Oryctolagus cuniculus: one gene and its partners. The protein of the gene in region 3 purifies or fractionates together with the protein of the main gene of each other region. This does not show direct contact. Links are inferred from orthologs where the notes say so. Each region holds a gene or a part of one and is shown on either strand. Other genes may lie near its edges. The genes, in order: WASF2, ABI1 and BRK1.

Region 1 (9,208 bases), on a different chromosome or scaffold from region 3:
GTAATGAGGAGGGAGGGGAGACAAGCAGGGAAGGGGACAAGAGGACAAGCGGAGGGGCTAGCGTTGTGGCGCTGCCCCATATGAGGGCAGGCTGGAGTCCTGGCTGCTCCTCTTCTGACCCAGCTCCCTGCTAATGCACCTAGCAAAGCAGCGGAGGACGGCCCACCCATGTGGGAGACCCAGATGGAGCTCCTGGCTTTGGTCTGGCCCAGCCCTGTCCATTGCAGCCATTTGGGGAAAGAACCAGTGGATGGAAGACTTCTCAATCTCTCTCAGTCCCTGTAACTCTGCTGTCCAAGTAAATAATTTTTTTAAAAGGATTTATTTATTTATTTGAAAGTCAGAGTTACAGAAAGGCAGATGCAGAAGCAGAGGCAGAGAGAGAGAGAGGTCTTCCATCTGCTGGTTCACTCCCCAGATGGTCACAACAGCTGGAGCTAGACCGATCTGAAGCCAGGAGCCTCTTCCAAGTCTCCCACACTGGTGCAGGGGCCCAAGCACTTGGACCATCTTCTACTGCTTTCTCAGACCATAGCAGAGAGTGGATTGGAAGAGGAGCAGTCAGGACTCGAACCGGTGCCCATATAGGATGCCGGCACTGCAGGCCGAGGCTTTATCAGCTGTACCACAGTGCCGGCCCCCAAATAAATAAATCTTAAGGAAAAAAAAGTTAGGAAAAGGGAGGAAAAAAAGAGATGAGAAAAAGTGGACAGAGGGACAGAGGATAAGAAGGCAGGACAGTGAAGGCAGGACAGTGAAAGAGGACAGGCAGTGGCTAGCTCCCACTAGGACAGTGATTCTTATTTTCTGGGGCACAGAACTTTTTTGAGAACCTGATGAAAAGTAGGTGTCTTTCCTCAAGAAAAGAATATGCATGCAAACAAATATAAAGCTTAACATTTTTAGGGAGTTAAAAAAAATATCTCAGGTTAAGAATTCTCTACTGGGGCTGGCGTTGTGGTGTAATGGGTTAAGCTACTGCCTGCAACGCTGACATCAAATATGGATTCTGGTTCGAGTTCCAGCTGCTCCACTTCCAATTGGTTCCCTTGCTAATGTGCCTGGGAAAGCAGTGGAAAATGGCCCAAGTTCCTGGACCCCTGCCACCCACATGGAAGACCCGGAAGTAGCTCCTGGCTCCTGGCTTCAGTCTGGCCCAGCCCTGGACGTTGTAGCATGTGGGGAATGAACCAGCAGATGGAAGATCTCTCTCTCTCTCCCTCTCCCTCTTTCTATATAACTCTGCCTTTCAAATAAATAAATCTTTAATAAAAAAAAAAAGAATTCTTTACTTTAGGGGGTGGGCATTTGGCACAGCAGTTAAGACATCACTTGGGACACCCACATCCTATATGGGAGCGCCTGGGTTAAGCTGCAGCTCCGCTTCTGATTCCAGCTTCCTGCTGAAGTGCCTAGGAGGCAACAAATGATGGCCCAGGGACTTGGATCCCTGGAACCCATGTGGAAGCCCCAGATGGAATACCTGGCTCCTGGATTTGGCCTGGCCCAGCCCTGACTGGTGCAGGATATTTGGGGAATGAACCAGTAGATGGAAGATCTCTGTTTCTCTGTTTCTACATCTATCGCTCTACCTTTAAAATAAATTTTAAATTCTTTAAACCAAGATAGAAAGAAATCTGTTCTGAGGCCTGAGGCCTACTCTCTCCTTGCTCTTCCAGTGGAAGCTGGGGAAAGCACAGAGCTCCCTTTACCTCGTCTCCATCAGTTACCCCTGCTCAGGAAGACAAATTTCCAGACCCCCCACTGGGATGTACCTTGACGGATGGCGGAGAGCAGGTCACTGCGGGCATCACTCACAGCAGGCAAGGAGGACTTGGGCTTGGTGGCATCAGAAGGTGGCGGTGGTATAGCAGGCTGGCTGTCCCCACCACTGAACGGGAGAGGTGGGGGCCCTGGGGGCGGGGGCGGTGGGGGTGGCGGAGGGGCTCCACCTGCTGGCTGGGACAAGGGAGGTGGTGGCAATGTTGGGTAGTCAGCTGCCGGTGGTGGGGGAGGAGGTGGAGGAGCAGCAAAATCAGGGTGAGGTGGGAAAGATGGGGGTGAAGGTGGGGGAGGGGTGCCTGGAGACCCAAATCCCATAGGTGGCGGTGGAGGTGGGACACCCATCGGAGGTGGAGGAGGAGGGGCAGGTGGTGGAGCAAAGCCAGGTTTGGGGCCTGGCGGAGAGCCTAGAGGTGGAGCTGGGGGTGGATGGCTTGGGCTGACCATGCTGGATCTTTTGGTTCCAGCCAAGCCAGAACCTCTTTGGTTGTCTGCCGGGTAGCTGAAAAGAAAAAAAGACCAACCATCACTTTCAGTATGCAAACACCCCGCCACCCACCACTCCCCTGACGAGGGTTAGGCTTATCACTAAGTCTCGGTGTGTCTCGGCTGACTATTCCATTTCACTTTGAGGCTCAGTTATAAAGAAAAACTGGGGAACTATTCGCAGATACTGTCAAAGAAATGGGCAGCCCGATTAGGAAAAGAGCTTCTGACCACCAGAAGAGTGCAGTCAGGAGTCAGGGTTAACTCCTGGGAGGACGAGACTCGTCCATCCGCCAGCTGAGCGAGCTCTCAGGTCCTCCTCTAGGCTGGCAGCTCTCCAGGGGAAGGTGTCCTTCTGGAAGCCCAGCTAGGAGGAGTGAGCCATGGGCAGTTGTTTAAGCCTGGAGCCAAGATTCAGAGCGCATGCAAGAAGTAACTGGAATACAAATTCAACCACCATCTACCTACTGGGCTCCATTTCTCAGGCTATTAACATTCACCAGATCTGGTAAGGGCAGGAAATCCAAGCCAAGCGACCAAACCCAAGCAGGATATAGATTTAAGTGACTGCATCTTCAGTGCTCATGTGGGGAAGACTTGTGAGTGAACGAGTCTCAATCTGAGACACTGCAGGGACGGGAAACGAAGCTGCCACATGACTCCTGACCCAGGTTTGAAAGAGGATTAAGGCTACACCTCTCCTGGGATCAGATTTGCTCAGCTGCAGCTGCAAGGTCTCAGGCCATGTGTGAGGCTGAGGGCTTTCTCCCCACCTTTGTATCTGCCCTGCACTAATAGCTACTCCTTAGAAAAGCATCCATCTTGGAATTTTCCACAGCCCTTCAGGCCTCAGCTGCATCTGACAAGGCAACCAGCAGGAAGTGATTTGGGATTAGCAGTTTCAAGGGCTAAGAAGAATGGGGGGAGATGGAGGAGGACAGCACAGCTTCAGGTTTCCATCTGAGGGGTCCTTAGTGTCCAAAGAGTCAGGCATCAGAGAGGAGGAAAGGAAGCGAGCACACAGTGCCATACCAAACACCCCCCAGATCTGTCCGCAGCCATGACTGCTGGCCCCTCCTGTGCACCTGTGCCAGGGAGACGAACAGATATCCAACAGGACAGATCCTAAATTTAATGCCCTTTGTCCCTTTGTTTCATTCTTTCTGGAGATTCTACCCAGAAGCGAAATGAACCAGAAGCCACAGGAGAGCAAGTGACTATCTGCAAGGTTCCTAGACAACTGGGCAAGGCCCCTGCTAACTGTTTCATGAACAGCAGATCATTCTACTTCATTTCATGCTGAGCTAAAGCAAAGTAAAACAAACAAGAGAGGGGGTGGGCCTTTAGCCCGGTGGCTAAGATGCCAGTGAGCATGCCTGTGTCCTATATCAGAGTACCTGGGTTCAATACCTGGCTCAGCTCCTGGCTCCAGCTTCCTGCTAATGTGAACCCAGAGGGGCAGCTATGATGGCTCAAGTGACTGGATTCCTGCCACTCAAGTGGGAGACCTGGACTGAGTTCCTGGCTCCCACCTTTGGCCCCATGTGGGGGTGACTTCAGGCATTTGGGAAGTAGGCCAGTGGAATGGGAGTGCCCTTTTGCCGCTCAAGTGAAGAAAAAAAAAAAAAAAAACAGAAAAAGAAGGTGTTTGGTTTAGTGATTAAGATGCCTCTTTGGACAACTGCATCTTATCCTAGAGGGACTGCACTTCAGTCCTAACTCTGCTCCTGGTAATGCACACCCTGGGAGGCAGCAGGTGATGGCTCAGATACTTGGGTCCCTGCCACCCATATGGGAAGACCTGGACCTAGTTCCTCATTCCCAGCTTTGGCCTAGCCCTGCCCTGGCTGTTGTGGGCATTTGGAGAGTGAGCCAGTGGATGTCTCTTTCTCTTGCTGCCTTTCAAATAAAGAAAAATAAACAAACATTTCTAAAACTAAAGAAAAAACAAGAAGTTGGTGACATCTATCTTTCCAGGTATAGGCAGCCTGGTAAAACAGTTAAGGCTACAGGCTCAGCAGCCAGCATTGGACCATAATGGGTTAAGCTGCTGCCTACTATGCTAGCATCTCAGCTGCTCCACTTCCGATCCAGCCCCCTGCTAATATGCCTGAGAAAGCAGCAGAGGATGGCCCAAGTGTGTGGGCCACTGTACCCACATGGGAGACCCAGATGGAGTTCCAGGCTCCTGGTTTCAGCCTGGCCATTTGGGGAGTGAACCATCGGATGGAAGATCTCTTGCTTGGTAACGCTGCCTTTCAAATAAATAAATAAATCTTTAAAAAAAAAATAGAGTCAGGAATCAGACTGACTATGGCTCTGTCTCATCTCTAACTGGCTGTATGACCTTAGATAAGTTCACTGACCCTACTGTGTCTCACAACTGAAAGTTATTTCAGTGGTCCTGGCCTAGATTTTGAACCTTATTTTATTCTTAAGTGTTTAACCACTCAGAGTGGATGGAAGAGGAACCACGATTTACCTGAATTCTGCTGGTGGGGGAGGCAAGTTGTCCTCAGAGAAGGCAGGAGAAGGTGAAGAGGTGGAGTCGGCCTGTGGTGGTGGAGGATAGCTGCCTGCATCCATGTTTTCAACTGAGCCAACACAGCCATTCTGGTACACCAAGGTGGGTGAGTACCTGACAAGGAACCCAGTGTCAAAGCTGTCATTTAAAGAGCCCGAGGGGCACACTTTTTTCTTCTTAAAAGATACTACAAAAATGCATTTGATACAAAAGCTATTAGGGAGAAGTAAAATAAGAATATTCTCTACATCTACTTTCTGCTATACTGAATTTTGTTGTAGGAGTAAATATCCTGTTGTTAAATATCTTTCAGATATCTCTGCCTCATTGTTTGTGGAAACAGGATTCGACCCAGATTATCAAACATGCTTTTGCTCTCCAGTACTGGTCTTCTCAAACCCAGAAATTTTTTAAAATTCTCTTCCAAATGTTAGGTGCAGTTGTACCTGAATCCCAAAGTCTGCCTTGTGGCAAAGGGCGAAGCCAAGCCTGAGGGGCTGGCGGACTGCAAACACGTGATTAGCACGCAGCCTGGTTTTGAGGTCGGCAAGCCTCTGGAGTGCTCAAAGGCCAAGGAGGCATCTGATTGCAAAATCAAGCCACGGATGAATGCAGCTTGCTGTGTGGTAGCAAACGTGGCCTCTCTGCCAGGTCTCTTATCAAACGAAATGAGCTGCGGATTAAAACAGGTTGCTAGCTAGGGCTTGCCTCGTGAGAGCCTGCCCCTCGGAGCACTGGGCCTTGGGCGAATGTGCTCCCAGTGAACAACAATAAGCCTCCGACAGCAAACTCCGAGCACTGGTCAGAAAAACACAGCCTGCTCTGTGCCACCTCCCCTTCTTTCCACCATTGCTGGGTCCTAAAAGGACTCATCTAGAACAGACCCCAGGGAAACTAGGGTTGCAGAAAATGAACTGAATTGAACGACACCCTGATGTGGAAAATCCCCAGGCCTGGAGTCCTGCAGGCCTGGCACATCTATTTACAGGTTTACCAGCAGGCACGTCCAGATAGCCTCGCCACGCAGGCCAACTCCAGAGATCCTGGGCGACGGGAAGCAAAACCATCTGTATCACCCCCACTCCACACATAATAGTGGGCACTCTGAAGATGCACGCTCCCTGGCCTGAGAGGCACCGAGCCTATGACAAATGCCTGTCTCAACAGGATGGGACCACAGAACAAAATGGCCCCTTTTAGGGGAAGGTGAAGGTAATGAAGGTGCCCTCGGGGTTGACTTCCCTGTACAGGGAAAGTTCATTTCTCCTCTCCCCATGTTCATCACTCCTTATAACAAATCTCTTAATCCAGAAAGAACAAGTGTCAGAAGTGTCAAGATTTTTAAAAGTCAAGATCTTCATGGTAGAGTTATTCCTAAAAGCAAGAACAACCCAGCTCTTTGCTTTTATCATTCCTAGACACCTGGCATGGGCTGGCACGGTTCTCTGACAGTCAGAATGCCACATACTTGAGGAAAACCGGGGCGACATTCACACCAAGCAGTTACGGTGACTCGGCTTCGAATGTCACACAGGTCAAACACCAGGATAGGTATAAAACCAAGCTTTAAACCATTTTCCCCCTTTAAATCTCCAGTGTGATTTGGTGTTGGGAAATGGGGTCAGACTGACATCTCCCGTTTCTCCACAGAGATATATAGCCTCGGTGCTGGCCCAGCAGCCTTTCCCACACTGTCTCTGAGGTCTGCATTCAGTCCTCAGCCAGCCTCTCTCCCAAGACCGACAAAGGCTGGCTGAAAAGCTGCTCTGGTGACGTGCGTGATTCCACTGCCTGGCTGCCCCTCTCCTAGGCGATGCCCAGCTCGGAGGCTCGACCTTCACATTAAAGCTCTGGAGGCAAAGGGGCCCCAAGACCACTCTGTTTCCCTTTGCAGTCTCTCCTCTGAGGCCCTCTCACACAGCCACGTCTGGCAGAGGAAGGGCACTAGAAGCCATCGGGCTTTCTGCTCCAGACCACTCCAGTCACCTCATTTAAATTGCTGAGTCTCTTGATTTATTTAGCAAGTTTTAATCATCGGATGGATGCACTTTAAAGTAGCTGATTAATAGTGGTATTGATTTAAGCCACACAGCTAGACTTCAGGGGCTGTGAAAGGTGTCGTGCCAGAGCTGTTAGACTGTTGTCCCCAGCCCCTTCAAAGAACGTCACTGAGAATACAAAAGCATCACCTACCCAGAAGGCCCCAGCTTTTCTTTGGACTCCACAAATTCTTGTCCCATCTTCATTTTCTCCCACTCTTCCTTACGGGTCTTGATTTTACGTGGGTTTACATTCCCTCGGTTTGGATTATCTTTCTTCTCTTTCTATAATGAAAAAGAATAGAAAAGCCTTTGCAAAATATTTTCCGAAGTTCTTCATTAAAATCCTACCCATCTTCACGGACACAGAGCCCAGAGATGATCTGCCTAGATAGCATACCAAGTACCTGGAGAATTTATGGAATTACTGGGTTTGGAGTAACCTAGAGGCCATCTAATCCAAATTACCTCCCGGGCAAAATATCTGCTCAGACACGTACTCCAACACCTCTAGCAATCGCAACGCTGCCACTTCTTTGCATAACTCATTCATGGTTTTAAACAGCTTTAATCGTTAGGAAGCTAGTGAACAGCTATTTGTTATTGTCTCATGTATACAAGTCAGTCAAGAGATGAGAAGTAATGATAGCTACAGATATCTGGGACAGACAGAAGGAAATAGTTAAAAAAACAAAACAAAAACCAGTGAAGAAATTTTCAGCCTGTATCACTGCACTAGCCTCTGGCGCTCTCTTGGGCCTCCTGGCAGCCATGCTAATGGGATTGCGAGGTCGCAACTGACAGGTCACACACACACCATCAGGAGTCCAAGCCCAAGCAGAGGGGAGCAACTCCAAAACCTAGGCACCTCCCCTCACCCTGACCCCGCCCAACCAGCAGTGAAGGTGTTAAACCGCGCCTGTCGCCAATCAGCTACTACAGAACCTTGTGCTCATCTCTGGGAAATGAGCTGCAACACTGGTGGGGAAAGGCCTAGCCTGGCTCGAGTGTCCAGCAGAGTCAGGTGCAAATTGCAAGAGAAATAAATGGTGAATAGAAAAGTCAATTTCTAAAACTCAGCCTGAATATACTCAATTGTTAATAGCGCTAGGGGGAACAAACACATTTTTGGTATGATTTATACTTTCATCTTTGTGGTGCTTGGTGAGGACACATTTTTTTAAGAGTTTCACCTGGCATCCAAGCAAGCAGCCACCCGGAATCACTTCACATAAGGCTGGCTTCCTTTTTATCCCCCTCCACAATCGTGCCTACTGATGTGCAGAACAGAGGCCCCTCTCCCCTCACCCTGTGCTTTCTCTTCTCTTTCATGATATCCTTGGTGTCCTGCAGCATCTTCTCCTTCCAAAGATCAAAGAAGTATGAAGGGTCGGTGTAGAATTTGAGTGCCTCTTTTCCATCATCCCTGGGATAGAAATGAAGACAAGCAGCTGTCAGTAGACAGATGAGCTCCCAACCAAATCCAATATTCCAAACACCTACCAGTTAACAGTTGTTACACCAAGGAATCAAGAAGTCATTCGAATCAATTGCATATTTCCTCTCCCATACCAGCACTTAAATGCCCCTGAATGGCACCTCTCTCCTCATTTGGCTTTTTAAGAACCTTAGCCTTACTTTTAATTCCTGGTAGAGGGATTTGCATGGTCAGGGCAAGAACAGACTACAACAGCAGGAATTCTGATGATTTCTACTCATTTGCATGGCCACAGACATCTCCCTAAAGGTATCTGGAGAGCCTGGCACAACAGAGGGATTTCTGCCACTGGTTTCCCTTTCCCTTCCAATTCCCCAGGACTCTCCAGGAAATGATAGGGGCTTTCCACCCACCTGAAACCCGGGCATACACATGCAGGATCTTGTGTGTACATACACACACACACACACACACACACACACACCTCAGACATACATAACTGTGCACATGTGCTTGCTGTTACTCCTCTGCACACAGATAACCACAGCACCTCACCTTCTTGTTCCCTCTTAGCACAGCACAGCATCCATACCCCCAACCACAAGGGGGCCCTGGTGAGAACAGATGGTCAGCTGTTTTAAGAACCTAAGACTTATCACTCACTATCTTTAGTAGCTACAAAAGTAATACAGAGTGCACTGTGAGTCATTATAAACTAGTGGCCAAACCCAACGACCCTGGTTGGAATCCCACTGTCCAGAAAGCATGGCCTTCGGGGGGAACACTTATTTTAATATTATTCTGGGGCTGGTGGTGTGGTGTAGCAGGTAAATCTGCTGCCTGCAGTGCCAGCATCCCATATGGGCTCTGGTTCGGTCCCAGCTGTTCCACTTCCAATCCGGCTCTCTGCTATGGCCTGGGAAAGCAGTAGAAGATGGC
Region 2 (9,786 bases), on a different chromosome or scaffold from region 3:
ATCAAATTTACCCAAAATATTTCAGGAAAGATTTTGTTAACTTCTATTAATTCTACAACTCTTCTATGTAGAAATAGTATGTTATAACCCATGGATTCTGTCAGTGAGATACAGGTCTGGTGCTGTGATGTAGCAGGTTAAGCCTCCACCTGAAGCACCAGCTTCCCATATGGGCGCCAGTTCATGTCCCAGCTGATCCTCTTCAGATCCAGTCTCTGCTTATGGCCTGGGAAAGTAGCAGAAGAGAGCCCAATTCTCAGGCTCCCACACCCACATAGGAGACCCAGATGAAGCTCGTGGCTCATGGCTTGAGACCGGCCCAGGTTCGGCCATTGATGCCATTTGGGGAGTGAACCCATGGATGGAACTAATCTCTCTCTCCATCTCTCCCTTCCTCTCTTTGTGTAACTCTGCCTTCAAATAAATAAATATTTTAAAAATGCCTTTCAAATAGATAAATATTTAAAAAAAGTGAGATACAATTCCTGATTGCCAATTACTATAGGACCAAACAAAGATTTTTTCTTTTCTTTTTTTATTCACTAGTAAATTTCATTTCTGATTAAAAATCATCTTTTTGGGGCTGGTGCTGTGGCACAGCAGGTAAAGCCACCACCTGTGATGCCAGCACCCCATATGGGCACTGGTTTGAGTCCTGGTTGCTCTACTTCTGATCCAGCTCCCTACTAATGCACCTGGGAAAACAGCAGAAGATGGCCCAAGTGCTTGTGCCCCTGCACCCACGTGAGAGACCCGGAAGCAACTCCTGGCTCCTGGCTTCAATCTGGCCAGCTCAGATTGTTACGGTCATTTTGAGGGTGGACCAAAAGATAGACAATCAATCTCTCTCCGTAACTCTGCCTTTCAAATAAATCCTAAAAAAGAAAAAAAAAAAAAAAAAGGCTTATCATCTTTAAAAAAAAAAAAAGGTACAATCAGCAGACAGTAACACAGTAGATGCTCAGTAACAGAAGTAACTATACCACCCTCTACTCTTCTATTACCCTCCCCCCACATTCTTTATTTTTATTAAGAAACAGATGTCTTTAAAAAAAAAAAATCTTAAAATTTATTTTGAAAGAATAACAGAGGTTTGAATCCAGGCCTACGAAATATTGAACTCTAGGGGCAGTGCTGTGCTGTACTGTTGCACCATCTGCAGTGCCAGCATCCCACATGGGTGCCGGTTCAAGTTCTGGCTGCTCTTCTTCCTATCCAGCTCTCTGCTATGGCCTGGAAAAGCAGTATAATATGGCCCAAGTCCTTGGGCCCCTGCCCCCATGTGGGAGACCCAGAGAAGGTTCCTGGCTCCTGGCTTCAGACTGGCCCAGCTCCAGCCATTGAAGCCATTTGGGAAGTGAACCAGTATGGGTGGAAGACTTTCTCTCTAACCTTCTCTCACTCTCTCTGCTTCTACCTCTCCCTAACTCTGCCTTTCAAATAGATAAATTAAAAAAAAAAATATATTAAACTTTCGGCTAGATATTTAACATCTCTAAATCTCAGATTGTTCACCTCTTAGGGAAAAAAAATCATAATTTATTGTTATAAAGTGGCTTAAACTGCACAGAACCAGAAATGCTAGCTTTTACCTATTCCAAAGTGCTGCTGCTCAAAAATTACCTGCTTTCCAAGATCTAATGTGGAAAATCAAGCAAATGTCACAGGAAGAATAAAACAAACTAAACTAGGGCCGGCGCCACACTCAATAAGCTAATCCTCCACCTGCGGCACTGGCACACCGGGTTCTAGTCCCGGTCGGGGCGCCGGATTCTCTCCCGGTTGCTCCTCTTCCAGGCCAGCTCTCTGCTGTGGCCAGGGAGTGCAGTGGAGGATGGCCCAGGTGCTTGGGCCCTGCACCCCATGGGAGACCAGGAGAAGCACCTGGCTTCTGGCTTCGGATCAACGCAGTGCACTGGCTGCAGCGGACATTGGGGGGTGAACCAACGGACAAGGAAGAAGGAAGACCTTTCTCTCTGTCTCTCTCACTGTCCACTCTGCCTGTCAAAAAAAAAAAAAAAAAAAAAAAAAAAAACTAAACTAGGTAGCTCACAGTAGCATGTGACTTTATGCTCCCAAACCTTAGAACCTACTTGTTAATCCAAATGAGTTCCTGTTGATGGAACTACAAACAGAAAAATAAAATTTAAAAGTCAATCAATGAAGATTCTCCTGTCCTTAGCCAGCCTGGCAGTGCACATACTGAGAAACCTTCCTTAAGCAGCTTCTACTCCTGTTCTCTTAGCTTTCCTTCCTGTTTCCCAAATAGTTTCCCGTAACAAAAGCGGTATGAGGGCTGACACCGTGGCTCACTTGGTTAATCCTCCGCCTGCAGCGCCGGCATCCCATATGGGCGCTGGGTTCTAGTCCCAGTTGCTCCTCTTCCAGTCCAGTTCTCTGCTGTGGCCCGGGAAGGCAGTGGAGGATGGCCCAAGTGCTTGGACCCTGCACCCGCATGGGAGACAGGGAAGAAAACTCCTGGCTCCTGGCTTTGGATTGTCATAGCACCGGCTGTAGCAGCCATTTGGGGAGTGAACCAACAGAAGGAAAAATTTTCTGTCTCTCTCACTAACTCTGTCAAATAAAATTAAAAAATAAAAAAAAGTGGTATGAACACTTTCGTAGAGCAAGGAGAACTGGCTAGATGATACTCATCCTTGACATAATCCACCAGAAAAACTCAGTCTGGGCATATCAAACAAAAGATGAAAAAAGGAAAAAACTTTCTCCATGTCTATGTAAATGTTCCTATAAAAACACTTCTACTCTTAGTACTCTATTTGCTTCATAAGTATTTATTTATCTGAAAGGCAGAGATAGAGAAGGAAGGAATCTGCCTTGTAACAATTTTTAAATCCTGTCCTTGGAGGCAGCCCTCTGGCCCAGCAGGTCACCTCTGGTAGAGGTGTCTACACCCCTCAGTGGAGTGCCTAGATTCAACACCTGGCCAGGCTCCTGTCTCCAGCTTCCTGCAGTGATGGCTCACCTCGGAGACCTGGACCGTGTCCCCAACTCTCAGCTTCAGTCCTGAGCCCAGGGCTATTTCAGGCATGGAAAGGACACTAGCAGATGGAAGCTCTATTTTGCTCTGTCTCTCTGCCTCTCAAATAAATAAAACTTTGTCCTTTTTAAGATAGTAGAGTCTTTTGAGAAATTTTACTATTAATAATACAATTTAGCAGCTAGAGTCAATAGAATCCAAAGAGCTAATAAACTGCTCCAAAGATTCAATTGTACTGCAGTCAAAAGAACTTCCAGCTAAGCGTTTTAACTGAACTGGACTGTACTTTCAAACTGGAGGAAAAGTAACAAAATGAAAATTGAATTCTCAGGGTAAGAGAAATCACCATAGTAACTGTACATCAACTGGGTATTAAAAACTGCTCAAAACGCAAGTGACCACATACTTGTCCTGAGAGGCAGTAGATGGGGACACTTCAAAAGGTTTGTGAAGAAATGAAAAGATAATTTTATTTTGGTGCAAAAAAATTCTAAATTTCTAAAATCCTAAATTCTAAAATATAACTGTTTCATGAAGATTCCTCATATTTACACAAGGTTTTGGTTACAGTTAGGGCCATGGAAAGATTATAAAAGATCTCAATAGACAGTCGAATGAGTATTTCTAGTAATACTTGTTCCCCCATAGCACCAAAGTCAGCAGCACCAAAGTCAGCAGCACCATCAACCACATCAACTTCTACATCATTTCCTTACTTGTGTGAGTTTGACTCTGAAACACTTCAGAAGGCAACTAGTGGCCTGGTTTCTACAGCCCAAATCTAAAGGCTACAAGGTATTGAGAATTTCCCGTTTAACAGTAAAATCAGAACACCTCACTGCTGTCAGCCTTAGGAGCACCAAGAAAATTTAGGGTCACTGACAGTGCCTCTTGACACCAGGGTACTATACTTGTTAAAGTGAAAAATTACATGAGAAATGATGTAGCTTGATCTTAAGGAGGAAAGCTAGCAATGAAGTTCTAAGGTGCTTCAAAGTTACACGCTGAGCATAGCAAGGGGGGGCAGAAAGCATGAGAACATATACTACCTGAAAAAGAAATAGTCAACAGACAGGTTAAAACAGGTTTACAGCTACCAACACTTGCCAACACCTAGCAGTTACCACACCATATACTTGTAAGATTTCCCAACATGCAAAACAAAACTACACCACCCTTTTATGAAGGACTTGCTGTAGTCTCACAGAAAAGAAATGCCTTTTCTAGCAAAAGAGCCATCTAACTTCCTGGACTCTCTCGTTGACTTTCAAAATCTCTCAAACTTCCAGCAAATGAAGGTTCACTTCATTTTCAATTCTTTTCACATTAAACTGAATGAAAGTCACATATTTTTAATATCAACAAATGACAAAATCACCTTTCTATTTGCAAACTACAACATTTCTAATAGATTTAAAAAAATTAAAGACTGAACATAAAGTTTGCAAAAATAAGTAATAAAGTAGACGTGGCAGGAGTTCAACAACTGCATTTATCAGAATTCCCAAAGTAAAAGCTTGGGGGAAAAATGATGAAGATAAGTTCCTAGCAATGCTACTGAAGATACAATGTCACTAATATGAAAACTGCGAAATATTCAAAATATTTTGGAAACAGTTTCTCTCTCTCTCTCCAAAACACAGAGGCAAAGCATTTGCTAACACTGGGGCTACCGGTTCTTAAAAATGATGAATTTACACGGCAGCTATTCCCATACATGCTCTCGTTCGGAATTGCAGTAACCCTGCCCTCACGGAAGCACGTTCTGGTCTCGCCTTACCGATACCAAGTGCGTTTCTGGGTCCCATTACAACCACACAAAGGGCTCTGCTACTTTAGGAGCTTCCGAGCAGGCGGCCGGATCACCCCGATCCCTACACCGAACCACCGCACGCCCAGACGTTAACGTCAACCCAGACGAGCGTGTGTCACTGACGAGGCTCGAGACTTTCCTGAGACACTGGCGTCTGCCCGGTGGCGGGTCCGCCTCCCGGCTGGCCAGGGAGAACCCTCGGCGAGGCAGCGGCCGCCGGGGACACCCGGCTTCGTCCAGTCCCTCACGGAACCCGCAGCGGAAGAACTTTTTTGGGGTGGCGAGGGGTGGGTAAGAGAACGAGCATCAGAAGACATTTTCCCCCGAGTGGCTTCCCCCACTCGGGTCTCCCCGCGACGGGCGGCCCCCCACGAGCCCTCGCCCCACGCCGGGGAGGCGGAAGTGAGAAGGGCCGAGGCGGGGGACGAACCCCACCGGAGAAGCGCCGGGCGGCCGTCGATTAAAGGAATCTGAAGCTCCACTTCTCTGCCCCCCACGCCCGCTTCCTCCGCTCCCCCGGGGAGCTCTGCGTACTGTGACTCATGACAAAAATTTTTTTTTCCCCTTTTTAATAAATAAATAAAAGACACACCCTCTGGGCCGGCCTGACACAACCGCCCCCACCCCACCCTCGGCCGACACACACACACACACACACACACACACACACACACACCCGGCTTCTCCCTTCCCCGCGGCAGCCGGGGGCCCGCCGGCGGGGACAGCGCGACCCCCGGGGGGACGCCCGGCGGCGGCGGCGGCGGCGGCGGGCTCCCGGCTCCCTCGCCCATTTTCTCTCTCGGGCTGCAGCCACTTCCTGTATGGCAGCCCGACTCCCTCAGGCCGGCCACTCGCGCTCCCCCGGGCCGGGGCTGAGGTCGGGGCTGAGGTCGGGGGCTGAGGGGAGGGCAGCTCCCCCCCGCCGCGCCCCCCGAGCGCCCGCGCTCCTCACCTGTATGTAGTTGTTTTCACAGTAGTCCGCCACCCGGGTCAGGTTCTGGTAACTCTCTATCAGCGCCCTCTTGCCAGACGGGATCTCCTCCTCTAGTAACATCTGCAGCTCTGCCATTTTCCACCCCTCCGCATCGCTTCCTCGCGCGTGAAAGAGACAGGGGCAGCAGGGTCCGCCGAGGCTCGCAGCACCTCACAGCCCGGATACACACCGCCTACCCGCCCTCCCGCCTGGTATTGTGGGACGGCACCACCGCCTCTTCCTCCTCACTCTCTCCACCCGCCCTCCGCCCACTGCGCGCAGCCGCCTCCACGTCTCGCGAGCTTTCATTTCTCTGCGTACCACCCACCACCACCACCGTGGGCGGGGTTTCTTTCGCACGGTCTTATGGGAGTTGTAGTCCCGTCAGCTCGGCTTCCCCGCCAAGAGCGCATGCGTCCAGGGAATCCCGGACCGCCAACCCCGAGGAACGTCCAGAACGCCGTCGGGGCGTGGTGGTTTGAAGCCCAGAATTTCCTCCCAGCTCCGCACGGTGGCGCCTGAGAGCGAGGGTGTTTGCCAGAGCCGGGCTGTGTGAAACTTGGAGGAATTTGGTCAATTACGAAATGTCAGTGAATCGGAGATATCCGTTTAAGTGAGGAAACTCCAAGTCTTTATTTCCTCTGTCTCCTTAGAAATAGCGCGCGACTCGGGCTTTCCTTCCTAAACTTCCGCCTCCACCAATTCATTTAAAATTTAGCAAACGTTCATTGATGGCCAGTTTGAGGGTGCGACTCTAGGGAGGAAGCTACTGTGTTCCTGTGGAAACTCACAATTTTTATATTAACGTACATCACTTGTAGCGCTCTCCTGCACTCCTCGGTTTTTTCTCTAACGCTCCTTTGCCTGTGTCTTCCTAAACTTTTAAACTCATCAGTTCCTTATTTCTTTTGGTTGCACATAGTCATTTTTGTTTTTATCATCAATTTTTTTGGAAAAGTTCAAACGGCCCTATATTTCAGTACAGTCAGTACATAAATACTTTTGACATAATGGACCAAGAAAAGTGTTTTCCTGAGGCCAAAGACGAAACGAAGATAATGTGAAAGTCCATATTTTCATGTCTCTATGAAGACACTTAGAACCACAATATCTAGAGTAGTAAATATAACTCAACCAAATTAAAAAGTTTCTGGGATGGCTTAGTGTGCTAAGCCCACATCTACAGCGCCAACATCCCACATGAGCAGCAGTTTGAATCCTGGCTGCTCCATTTCAGATCCAGCTCCCTGCTGATGGCCCAGGAAAGCAGTAGGAGATGGCCCAAGTCCTAGGGTCCTTGACATCCACGAAGGAGATCTGGAAGAAGCTCCTAGCTTCAGAATGGCTCAGCTCTGGCTGTTGCAGCCACTAGGGGAGTAAACCAATGAATGGAAGACCTCTCTCTCTCTCTCTCTCTCTCTCTCTCTCTGCCTCTCTCTCTCTCCTCTCTCTCTCTTTCACTCTCTCTCTCTAACTATACCTCTCAAGTAAATAAATCTTTTTAAAAATAAATAAAACAGTATGTCTTCATTTGATCCAATAATAAATGAGTTTGTAGGAATAAAACCACAAAACAGAGACCGGCACCGTGGCATAACAAGTAAAGCCGCCACCTGCAGTGTCGGCTTCCTATATGGGTGCCTGTTCAAATCCCGGCTGCTGCACTTCCGATCCAGCTCTCTGCTATGGCCTGGGAAAGCAGCAGAAGATGGCCCAAGTCCTTGGATCCCTACACCCAATGTGGGAGAGCTGGAAGAAGCTCCTGGCTCCTGGCTTCAGATCAGCCCAGCTCTAGCCATTGTGGCCATTTGAGGAGTGAACTAGCAAATGGAAGACTAACTCTCTCTCTCTCTCTCTCTCTCTCCTCCCTCTCTGTCTCTGCCTCTCTGTTACTCTGCCTTTCAAATAAACAAACCTTTTTTAAAAAATACATAAAGCACAGTACCATTCTCTAACAGCTTTCAACTTTTATTTGACACAATTCAAAATAAGAAATAACAATGTACAATGACCTATAATATATATATGTATATGTATAAAATGTATGAGATAGAAAAGTTTCACAAAACTAAATGATATACTCTGATATTTCCTATTCTATTTCATGTAACACTAGTAAAGATCATTAAATTGACTTTATGACCTACAGAATATAAAGGACTTATATCCTTAGAACATTGAAGATAAACAACTCTCAACCTAGAATTTAAATGCAAGCAAATGTCATTCAAAGGATGATCATGGAGCTGGCACTTAGCCCAATGGTTAAGAGTGCCTGAGTTTGATGCCCATCACCAAATCCTGACTCTAGCTTCCTGCTAATGGGCACCATGGGAGGCAGCGGTGATGGTCTCCCTCTCACGTGGGAGACCTGGATTAAGTTCCCAGCTCCTGACTTTCACCTCGCCCAGCTCCAGCTGTAGTGGGCATTTGGGGAATGAAACAGTGGACACGAAATCTGTTTTTTCTTTTTCTTTCTTTCCTTCCTTCCTTCCTTCCTTCCTTCCTTCCTTCCTTCTTCCCACCCTCTCTCCCTCCCTCCCTCCTTCCCTCTCTCCTTCCTTCCTCTCTCTCTATCCTGTATACTCTCTCTCCCCCTCACAAGTGATTTTCTTTTAAACAACAAATTAGATTTCAGAAAAATGTAAAACATTTGTGTTCCAAAATACACTGTTAATGGAGATACAGACACACACATACACACGTGTGTGCATATATATATATGTTTACCCTGATTTGAACACTATACAATGTATTCAAAACATTCCATGCTACCCCATAAATATGTACCATTTTTATGCATCAGTTAAAATGCATTTTTTAGCATACACACACTGTTAAGAAAATGAAAAGGCAGCTGTCTTCCTCAGTCCCTGTGGTATACGCTATTGTGAGCAGCACAGTCTCTCAGGACATTCTTTATGAGGTGGTACAAAAGTCCTGCATGGAAGCTGAACACAGGCAACAGAAGTTGTTGCAAACAGGGGTGCTGCAGATGTCCTCAAAGAACCACAACTCTAAAGCAATCACTTAGGTACCATCAGACTTAACCCTCTACCCCAAGTTCTTTGTGAGTGCCCTGGAGAACAGCAGTGTGACAAGGCAAAGGCTGTGGATGTTTCCAGCAGGGGACATCAAGATGCTGAAAAAACTCAACAATAAGAAGTTAGTTGAGAAGATAGACAAAGAGTAGATGCCTTCTTGAACTCAGAGTCTCTAATCAAACAGATTCCATTAATCATGGACCCAGGTTTGGATAATACTGGGAAGTTTCCTTCCCTGTTGACCCACAATGAGAACATAGTGACCAGAGTCAATGAGATAGAAAGTCCACGATCTAGTTCCAGCTGAAGCAGGTGCTGTATCTGCCAGTGGCCACTGGCCATGAAGAGATGACAGACAATGAGCTTGTCTATAATATCTACCTGGCTATCAACAGCCTGGTGTCCTTGCTCAAGAATTGGCAACATCCAGGCTTTGTACATCAAGAGCACAGAGCATGTACTAAAGACACATACTAATAAATTGTAGTGAAACCCAAAAAAGAAGAAGGAAAATGAAAGGCAAATCACAGACTGGGGGAAAAAATCTGAAAAACAAATATCTTACTAATCATCACATATAAAGAACTCTTACAACTCAATAATGAGATGACAAATAAACCAGTTTGTTAAAATAAGTCCAAAGATCTGAACAGATGCTTCACCAAACAAGATACATGGACAAATAAACGAACACAAAAATGATTTTAAATGCCATTAGTCATTCAATAAACACAAATTAAACATGTGGCAAGATACCATTATTCAATATAACAATTAAAAATAAAAAGGTTGATAACACCAGTGTTGTTGAGGTTCCAGAGCAATAAAACTCTCTCAGGGCTGGCGCTGTGGCGCAGTGGGTTAACACCCTGGCCTGAAGCATCAGCATTCCATATGGGCACCAATTGGAAACTCAGCTGCTCCACTTCCAATCCAGCTCTCTGCTATGGCCTGG
Region 3 (9,773 bases):
CTTTCAAATAAATAAATAACTCTTAAAAAAAATTCATACTGGGGCCGGCGCTGTGGCACAGTGGGTTAACGCCTTGGCCTGAAGCGTCAGCATCCCATGTGGACACTCGTTTGGGACCTGGCTGCTCCACTTCTGATCCAGCTCTCTGCTATGGCCTGGGAAAGCAGTGGAGGATGGCCCAAGTCCTTGGGCCCCTGCACGTGCGTGGGAGACCTGGAGGAAGCTCCTGGCTCCTGGCTTCGGATCGGTGCAGCTCCGGCCATTGTGGCCAATTGGGGAGTGAACCAGTGGATGGAAGACCTCTCTCTCTCCCTCTGCCTCTCCTCTCTCTGTGTAACTCTTTCAAATAAATAAATAAATCTGTTAAAGAATTCATACTGTCAATCTTTAAAAAAAATATATGCTTGCAACAGTCAGGGGAGCCTGACGATGGCCAGAAACCTAATCCAGGTCTATCACGTGCGGGTGGGCAGGAACCACCAAGGGTGAGCATTCACAGGAAGTGGGAAAAGGCAGGAGAGCTGGGATTCCCACCCAGATCCTTGTATGAAATCCAATATCCCAATCCAGGGTCTGAATTGCTGGGCCAAACGTCCACCCCATTATCCTTCTAAAAGTCACTTGATTTACATGTAATTTACATCCACGCAGAAGTACACAATTCAGTGGTTTGTAAAAATACAGTTAGCATTGTGCAACCATGACCATGAACTGCTCTGTGAACGTTCCCATCAACCCCGATGGAACCTGCATCTGTGCGCCCTCCCATCCGGCCTCGGCAGTTCCAGAAACCACCACCGCTTGAGGCTGAAACTTCTATTCCGGATATTCTTCCTTCTCACTCGTCCTCACCTGCTGGTTGGAGGTCTGGCTGCGCGGGGCTCCTCAGTATCCCTCTTCTCAGACACGACTGCCTAAATGTCTGCTCCCTGGTTCTGGGAGCTCCACAGCACATTATGTAAGCTATTTAGCGACAGCACGAATGTTATCTTGCACAACCTGTCATTTCCCATGACAGACAGACACACCAAAACAATGAGGGGGAGGAAGTGAGAAGGAGGGCTCCTTCCAGGCCGGCACTTCAGTCTGGCTGTCAATCTGGTCACGAATCACACAGCTCAGAACAATGCTAAGGGCGCAGGCGTTCAGACTAGTGGTTAAGACAAGTGTGTCCGGCATCATGAATGCTTCAATCTGACACCCAGCCCTGGCTCCTGACTTCATTCTCCTACTAATACCGACTCTGGGAGGCAGGAGGTGATGGTTCAAGTGATCTGGTCTCTGCCACCCACACGGGAAGCTGGACTGAACTGACTTTGAGCTTCACTTGTGGGCGTCTGGGGAGAGAACCTGTGGATGGGAGTTCTGACCCTCGGCCTCTCAAAACAAGTGAACAAAAAAACCAATCCTATGCTACCGGCCTAAATGAATAAATACTGTTGAGAAGTAGAGGATGTTCAACTCTACAAAGCTTGGTCCTATTTCCACTAAGTATTAACTGGTTCAAATCAAACAGATCAGGAGAGCACGCAGCAGCTGAACAAATCCCACCTACATAATCGCAGAGGACCCCTCTCCCACACTCTCACTGCGTACGTACGACCTCAGCACTACAAACACCGACACCATGTTGTCCCTGAACTGCTTAACAGCAGGTTAAATTTTATTTTTCTAACAAAATTCCACCCTTCTTGGGGCCAGCGCCATGGCACAGCGGGCTAATGCCTTGGCCTGGAGCGCCAGCATCCCATATGGGCGCGGGTTCTAGTCCCGGCTGCTCCACTTGCAATCCATCTCTCTGCTGTGGCCTGGGAAAGCAGTAGAAGATGGCCCAAGCCCTTGGGCCCCTGCACCCATGTGGGAGACCCAGAAGAAGCTCCTGGCTCCTGATCGGCACAGCTCCGGCCGTTACAGCCAATTGGGGAGTGAACCATCGGACGGAAGACCTCTGTCTCTCTCTCTCTCTCTGTGTGTGTAACTGTGACTTTCAAGTAAATAAATAAATCCTTAAAAAAAATTCTACCCTTCTTCCAGGAATGGGCACTACCTCCATTTACTCTTCTTTACTCCTTTCTCAGAACCTGACACCCAGATGGACCACGAGCATGTTACACTTGTTGACTAAGCATTAAAAACCAATTTTTAAGAAATAGCTGCATTTGTTTTCTTTTCTGTTTGTAATTCTCTGCAAGTATTAGCTTTAGAATTGGGGAAAAGTGTAAAAATAGAAAGCTATAATCTGTGACTATTAATTCCGAAGCACAGAGCAGGCCTGGTGTTCAGAGGGCACCGCTGTATCACGATGTGCCTGTCCAGGGATCCACATGCTGACTGCTCTCGCCAGCCGGGCCTACAGGGAGGAAGCTGGTCATAAAGCCATTAGCTCTCCTGGGAAAACAGCTCCCTTTCCAGCTGTGAGGACCACAGGCCTGCTGCCAGGTTCAAAGACCTCCAGAACCTCCTCCTGACTCCACACCACCAATTCACATAAACCCAGGACAAAGCCACATGGCGGGGGCTGAGCACTGAGAGCAGAAAATGCAGCCCACACAATTTCACCCCACGTCATCCAACGCCAAAGCCACGCACTCAAGGCCAATCTGAAGAATTAACCAGTCTCTCAGCCTGTTGTCTTTGTCTAAACTCTTGAATCATTACACTGCCAATCTTCAGGAACTTCCCTCAGACACACCTAAGTGTTAAGTCAATTTGCTTTAAATTTTAAAAAAATGTATTATTAATTTATATTTCATTTCATCTGAAAGGCAGAAACACATCTCCCGCCCACTGCCTCACTCTCCAAATGGCTGCAACACCCAGGACTGCTGAGCTAGGAATGCCCAGCACGTCTCCCACAGCTGGCAGGGAGCCGAGTCCCTGAGCCACCACCCGCTGGCCTCCCAGGACCCACAGCAGCAGGGAGCCGGCACGGAGGGCAGAGCTGGGACCCGACCTCAGGCGCTCCGACACGGAGGGCAGAGCTGGGACCCGACCTCAGGCGCTCCGACACGGACGCGGGGCTCTCCCAAGAGGCCTATCAACCACCGTGCCAAACACCCACTCCAGATGCTTTAAATTTTTTCCCCCAAAGGTTTACTTATTTATTTGAAACGCAGAGGGATGGAGAAAGAAAAAAATCTTCTATCCACTGATTCACGCCCCAAAATGACTGCAACAGCCAGGTCTGAGTCAGGCCAAAGCCATGAGCAGGGACTCCATCCAGACCTCCCAGGCAGGCAGCAGGAACCCGAGTCCTTGAGTCCCCACCTGCTGCCTCCCAGGACCAAAAGCTGCGCAGCTGGGGCTTGAACCAGCCCCCTGACGGGGGCCGCAGGTCGTCCAGCAGCAGTTTACCCCGCGGTGCCATGGCGCTCAGCCCTGCACCCATCGTAACACTGTGCTTATTTCTAACTCTTCAGTACTAAACTCATTCTCTAACATTTTCAAAAACGACACCAAACATCCGGCCACCATCATCATTTCAGTGGAGGACAACAGCCATGAGAAGCTATTTCTTTCTGGCTCCTGAAGATTAAAATTCTGCATGTCCATTTCGTCGGCCTCGGCCCTGGTGGAAATCCCAAACAGAACAGCAAATCCCTCCTCTAACTGAGCAGATGTGACCCCGCCAGAGCGCAGACGGCAAGAAAGCAACACTGTGCCCCTGCACATCCTCCATCACGCCTCCATTTCAGTCAGCCCCAAGACCCAGCCAACTTGGTGGGACTAGGGTTCAAGACAGATACACGATACGACTCTGTGCTCAGAGGTGAACTTACCACACTGCCTAGACCCCAGCTGGAGGACTGAGGGGCTAGACACGTCCACACTGGAAAAGCCGCCCCAGCCAGCTTGCTATGTCCGAAGCTCGGGCGCCTGAACTGACCTTAACCTGGATGAGTACTCGGTGGGTGCGTGTCAGTTATTAAGCACAACCGTATGAACCAAGTATTTTCATTCTGCTTTTTCAGACCAACTTAGAACGTCCCAGGTCAGTGATCTTTCCAACTACTGCCCTCCGAAGTCTCAAAGCCAGGATCCTGTCACCTATCAACCTGACCGGTCCCCTGCATGGAATATTTTGGTTTCTGCCACGTAGTCCTTCTCTAACAAAGGTTTTGCGTGAAGAATGCTGTGAAGGGGCCGGAACCATCATGCAGTGGGTGAAAACCGCTGCCTGCGGCGCCAGCATCCCACCCACTTCCCATCCAGCTCTCCGCTGTGGCCTGGGAAAGCAGTGCAAGACGACCCAAGTGCTTGGGCCCCTGCACCCACATGGGAGACCCGGAAGAAGCTCCTGGCTCCTGGCTTCGGATTGGCGCAGCTCTAGCCGTCATGGCCATGTGGGGACTGAACTAGAGGATGGAAGACCTCTCTCTCTCTCTTTCAAATAAATAAATAAATCTTTGGGGGAAAAAATGCTATGAAGAACCCTTAACATTTCAGTTATCTGGGAAAGAGGAGAACCAACTGTGAGAATAATGAAACATCATACTGAAGCAACTTGTACAGAACTTTACAAATTCTGAGGAAACCCAGAGGAGCCGGGCGAGTCAGTCGGTATTTCCCACATGTTGTCAGTTCACTAAAACCAGTCTTGCCATTTATTTTTTCCAAGACACTGCTTCACTTACGTCCCTTTCACTTCACTGTTTCCCACCAGCCTCTGCAGCACCTCACGCCCTTCACACACACCACGGACACCCACGCCTGGCCCGTCCTCCCAGGAACAGCGCCTGCAGCCCCAGCCTCCGGAGGGAGGGCCTCGCCATGCCCCCACACCTCCGCACGGTCCCCTCCTCCACGCTGTCCCGGCCTCGGCTTCAGTCAGACCCTGCTCAGGGCGGGACTGCGACGCCACCGCACCGGCTGCGGGGCTGGGGCCCCACGCCACTCCCACCCCAGTTCCCCTTTAACGCACACCCCGGGAGCGAGCAGGGGTTCCTGTCACGCGTGAGAGCCACAGGCCGAGTGCCTGGCCCCGCTTCCAGCCTGTTCCGGCCCTAACCAGAAGATGATGACCTCCCCGCCTTACAAATGCAACAGAAGTATCCTTAGAAAGTGTGACCAAGACAAGAGCTCTGAGGGAGGCAAATGGTCCTCCCGTGCCCTCCCCCAACCTCGGAGCCGGCTCCTCGCTCAGCTCTCGCCTCACCACCTAGAAAATAATTCATCCAGGGCTGCCACCGCGGGGCGGCATCCCATACGGGCGCTGGTTCGCGTCCCGGCTGCTCCACTTCCCATCCACCTCCCTAATGGCCTGGGAAAGCAGTGGAGGATGGCCAAGCGCTTGGGCCCCTGCACCCGCGTGGGAGACCCGGACAAAGCTCCTGGCTTAGGCCTGGCCACTGCGGCCATCTAGGGAGCGAGCCAGCGGATGGAAGCTGGGGGCGGGCGGGGGGAACTGACTCGTTCTAAACGCTTCTGCAATGACACACGTGCACGCAGGTTTCTCCCGTTTAACCGGAAGGGCTTCACGTTGCTCAACGAGCAGACAGAAGAACCCTTCGAGGAAACAGGCCACTCTTGCCCTCCGCACCCCGCGCTGGCCGGCCGGGGCGAGGGGCGGCAGAGGGAACGCTCACGGGCTCTCGGGCAGGCCGCGCCCGGATTCCTGCAAGGCTGTCTCGGCCGCGCGAGCCGGGCCCACGGCGCGCCACCTCCGGCGACCTCCCGGCCCCGACCCCAGCCCACGGGGGGCCCGCCGGAGCGCGCGGAGCAGACCCCCCGAGCAGCGAGGGGGCGCAATGGAAGCGGACGCCGCGCGGGTGGACGGGGCCGCCTGGCCGGCCAGGCGCTGCCCGAGGGCCAGGGAGACGCGGGAAGGTGGGGCCTGAAGCAGGAAGCGAACCCCGGAACGCGGCCGCAAGCGCCCCCTCAGGGTCCCCGCCGGGCCGCCGCGGAGGGCCCCCCACCGCCCAGCCACCCCGGCTCGCCCACGGACCGAACGAATTGAGAAAGTCCGCGATTTTCTTGATGCTGCTGGTGATGACCTCAATGTACTCCCGGTTCGCCCAGTCCTGGTGAATCTCCCGCTGCACCGGATCCTCTTGCCCCGCCATGGCGGCCGCCGAAGGAAGAGTGGCTGCGCAGGCGCCGCGACACCCGCCCCCCCACAGGCAGCCAGTGCGCCTGCGCCCCCAGGCCCAACCCGCCCCGGGCGCGCACGACTCCACGGGCTTCGTGATGCGCCTGCGCAGCGTCACGTCCGCGCCTGCGTTTGCACCCGGCGCCCACGCCGCGGAAAGCAAAGCGGCGGCTCGGGGAGGAGCGCTGTGCGCCTGCGCAGGGCGCCGCACGCCCACGTCCGGCGGGCCGCTGTGGGCGTTAGGGGCCGCGTGGGCTTCCCTCGCGTCCGCCCAGGTGGCCGCAGCGATACGCCGCGTTCGCCGAGGGAACAGAGCCTGATCGTACTCGGCGGCGGCGGGGGCGAGCCCGGGCCGCTCAGGAGGAACTCTGTAACGGAGCGGTTACGTAACCCAGCGCTTTTGAAAATTACGGACACAGACCACTCGAGGCAGAGATGCGCTCTGTACCCTGATCTGCTGCAGCCGGCCGAGGCGATAATAAAATACTATACTGTCCTTTAGATGCTAACTAGGAGCACCTGGCAACGGGAACGGGGCGCACTGGAGAAACCGAGGGGGAAAACGATGCACATTTTTAATAACTGCCACTAGGCAAAAATCATGTCTGATAGGTGGGGACGAGTGTAACCCCAAACCAGTGCGGGGCTTGTTAAGGCGGTGGAATAACGTGCAATTTTACCTTTGTCTCAAGGAGTATTTTCTGGTATGCAGAAATGCCTTTGATAAAAAGGAAAAAAAAAAGCGGAGGGATCCGTGTTTCTGGCAGTCACGGGGAAGACCCCAGTGCGCACAGCCCTTTGATTCCTGGACGCCTGTAGAGATGTGTCTGCAGCTGATTCTCACGGGACCCGCAGGGTCGTCGCCGGCAGGTGAACCCTGTCCCGCTGACTGTCCACGTCTCCCTGGACCCTGAGAACGGCAGGAGGCCTGTCCGAGCTCCCCTGTAGTCACACAATTTCCTAAAGCAATAATACACCCGGCCCGCGCTGCCCCAGCCAGGTGAGGCTGTGGTCCCCCTAGCTGCCTGTCCCAGGGAGCGAAGAGACCTGCTCTCCCCTAAGGCAGCATGGGTTAAAAGAGGAGCCACTGCCCCCTTTAAGAGGTCGAGGGGAAGAGGGGCGAGGAGGGGGAGACAGGGCCCGCATCTGCTGAAGTCCTCGAGTGCCCACGCCGAGCTTTGAGCGGGGAACCCGGCCCAGGGGTGTCATGTGCATGGCAGGAACCCAGTCGCCCGAGCTGGGGCATGGGCTGAATGCCGGCCTCCCACCCCTGTGTTTTTGTTTTTAATTTATGAGCCACACACAGACCAAGGATCTGCCAGGCCTCTGAGCCGCTGTGGTCTCCCGAAGCCTGACCCCACCTCAGCCCCTCAGCGCGTCTCCATCCCTTCACCTGCAGGGCCAGACGGTGACCCTGCTCGCCAAGCGCTGACCGGGGAGGGGCAGGCGGGCACCGGCCAGCCCGCGGCAAGTGCGCAGTGCTTCCACGCCGACCGGGGAGGGGCAGGCGGGCACCGGCCAGCCCGCGGCAAGTGCCCAGTGCTTCCACGCCGACCGGGGAGGGGCAGGCGGGCACCGGTCAGCCCGCGGCAAGTGCCCAGTGCTCGCTGCCCCGCGCTGGGCTGCAGCTGCCTGACACCGCGCAGCTGTGCAATGCCCGCCGTCAGAGCCGGCGCATCACTCCCACTGGGATGACCGTGTCCGCTCTTCAGCTAAGAATGGCACCGAACCGTGTGCAACAGGCGGGGAAGCCCGGGGCGGGATTCGAACCAGCTCCGGGCGTCCGACGATGGGCGGAGAGGGGCTCCCTGCCCGCCGGCCGCCTCGAGCCCTGCCCGCCGCCCGTGGCTCGGGCTCCCCCGCGGCCCCGGGTCACAAAGGCGGTTGCCAGGAGCCCCGCGGAGGAAAGATGCGGCTCGGAGTCGCGGCCGCCACTCTGGAGCGTGCGGACCGCGGAGTCCAGCAGGTGAGCCGCCGCCGGCCCGATGGTGGGACCGGGCCCGGCTCCCGCAGCCGCCTGCGCCTCGGCCGGAGCCGCCTGGCCCCCGCCCCCGGGTACGGACGAGCGCCTCCTCCCGCGGGGTTTCGGGGGGCCCCTCCCGGCGGGGACGTCGGGGGACAGAGTGTCCGGTTTTGTCCGGGAGGAACAGACTTCCGGGTGGCGGGGACGGGGCGAACCATCTTGATTTAAACCTCCGGCGAAGGGGTCGAGACCTCGGCGGGAAGTCGGTTCTGCCCTTTGCAAAGCCTTTCATCTCCGGCCCGTGTCCGGCTGCGGAGTCAGGAATAGGAAACTAATGGTCCTCGGCGCAGAGCAGTTGAAGCCCCCCACCCCGCCCCGCGCTGCCCGGGGTCCCCGCCACCAGGGTGGCCCCGGGGGCGTCCGCAGGATGACCGCGTCTGTCTCTCCTCCCAAGGCGGCCGGACGCTTGAACACCAGTGCTTGGGAAGGGCAAGCACAGACCGTGGGGACACCCCCGCTGGGCAGTCCGCCAATCTGTATACTAACCACCCTCAGGGCGGGTCTTTGGGTCCAAGATGTCACCAACAGATCCGCTTGAAAAATGAACGGTACTGCCTCACAAACTATGGTGGGAGCGTACTGGGAGACCCACTGGGCAGAGCACACCTCTGAGAGACCTGGTCTTGAAACAGGCCATCTCAGAGGTGTAGACTCTATCATTAGCAGTCCCAACCCCACAAAGTCCCAGTCGCAGACCCGGCCATTCCATTTTAGACAAATCCATTTCCTTGTCTGTAAAATGAACTAAAAATCCATCTTCAGAGGCCATCGCTCAAGTTTAAGTCTTAGTACACACAGCAGTTGCGTTGCCTGATTCAATACCTGTTCCTGTCCCCTAGTGCCCTTCACACACCCTGACTCTGGGCCTGTTTGCGGGAACCACAGAGCCAGTGTCAGCCATGGCACAAAGGGATGTGTTTGAACTACCAAAAACATGCCGAGAAACTCTGTTCTCATTCCTCTCCTTTAGGACTCGCAATGGCAGGATACCAGCTCTGGTCACCATGGACCCCACTGGACGAGAGCTTCCAATGGCTGCGGCACACGACACCTACACCTTCCTCCAAGCACCCGTTTAGGGCCTCCCCCTGCCTCCCGCACACCCCTTCTGACCTTGAAGTGCAGCTGTGTTTTCAAGAGGTCACTCTGGTCCTAGACAGCCCATTCCTGGAACCTGGAGTGAGCCCCAAGTTACCGTGTCACACATCCGAGCTCCGCACGATGAACATCAAGAAAGGGCTCGTCAGGAAGCCCCAGCCTGTCCGCCTCAGTGGCGTGGACTCTGTCTTTGGCAGGGTCATCACAGCTCAGCCACCGAAGTGGACCGGAACCTTCCGCGTTTCAGATAAGTCCGCCTTTTGCAAAATCATCAGCAGGGAGCACCAGTGGCCCACGGGGCTCAAGGAGCCCCAGATCGAGATGACAGTGACGATGTGTAAACAGATGCTGCGCTCGATCCTCCTGCTGTACGCGACGTACAAGAAGTGCACCTTCGCCTTGCAGCACTCCAAGTAAAGGGTCCCGCTGACCCAGCTCGCCACGGCGGCCCTGCTGTGTCCACACAGACCCCGCTGCGCCATTGCCCTTCTGTCAGGCGCCGACAGTTCAGGAGCTCCTCCCTTGTGTCTGGTGACAGAGCCAGGGAGACCATCTCCACGGCGA

The links.
Region 1: the proteins of BRK1 (region 3) and WASF2 purify together in Homo sapiens (co-immunoprecipitation; 3 studies listed by BioGRID and IntAct, with this or other methods). This does not show direct contact. The link is inferred for Oryctolagus cuniculus from reciprocal best matches to the Homo sapiens genes BRK1 and WASF2.
Region 2: the proteins of BRK1 (region 3) and ABI1 purify together in Homo sapiens (co-immunoprecipitation; 3 studies listed by BioGRID and IntAct, with this or other methods). This does not show direct contact. The link is inferred for Oryctolagus cuniculus from reciprocal best matches to the Homo sapiens genes BRK1 and ABI1.

What each region holds. Positions count from the first base shown.
Region 1 is NC_091438.1:144,157,548-144,166,755, reverse strand, and holds part of WASF2 (actin-binding protein WASF2), read right to left. Parts: intron 8,258-9,208; coding exon 8,140-8,257; intron 7,117-8,139; coding exon 6,986-7,116; intron 4,907-6,985; coding exon 4,751-4,906; intron 2,285-4,750; coding exon 1,776-2,284; intron 1-1,775. UniProt on the Homo sapiens protein: Downstream effector molecule involved in the transmission of signals from tyrosine kinase receptors and small GTPases to the actin cytoskeleton. Promotes formation of actin filaments. Part of the WAVE complex that regulates lamellipodia formation.
Region 2 is NC_091444.1:103,264,924-103,274,709, reverse strand, and holds the start of ABI1 (abl interactor 1), read right to left. Parts: upstream 6,093-9,786; 5' UTR 5,884-6,092; coding exon 5,767-5,883; intron 4,902-5,766; exon of another isoform or gene 4,782-4,901; intron 1-4,781. UniProt on the Homo sapiens protein: May act in negative regulation of cell growth and transformation by interacting with nonreceptor tyrosine kinases ABL1 and/or ABL2. May play a role in regulation of EGF-induced Erk pathway activation. Involved in cytoskeletal reorganization and EGFR signaling.
Region 3 is NC_091441.1:116,683,712-116,693,484, forward strand, and holds the start of BRK1 (protein BRICK1), read right to left. Parts: upstream 6,158-9,773; 5' UTR 6,063-6,157; coding exon 5,945-6,062; intron 1-5,944. Other genes in the region: FANCD2OS (FANCD2 opposite strand protein), read left to right, coding at 8,074-8,143, 9,082-9,626. UniProt on the Homo sapiens protein: Involved in regulation of actin and microtubule organization. Part of a WAVE complex that activates the Arp2/3 complex. As component of the WAVE1 complex, required for BDNF-NTRK2 endocytic trafficking and signaling from early endosomes.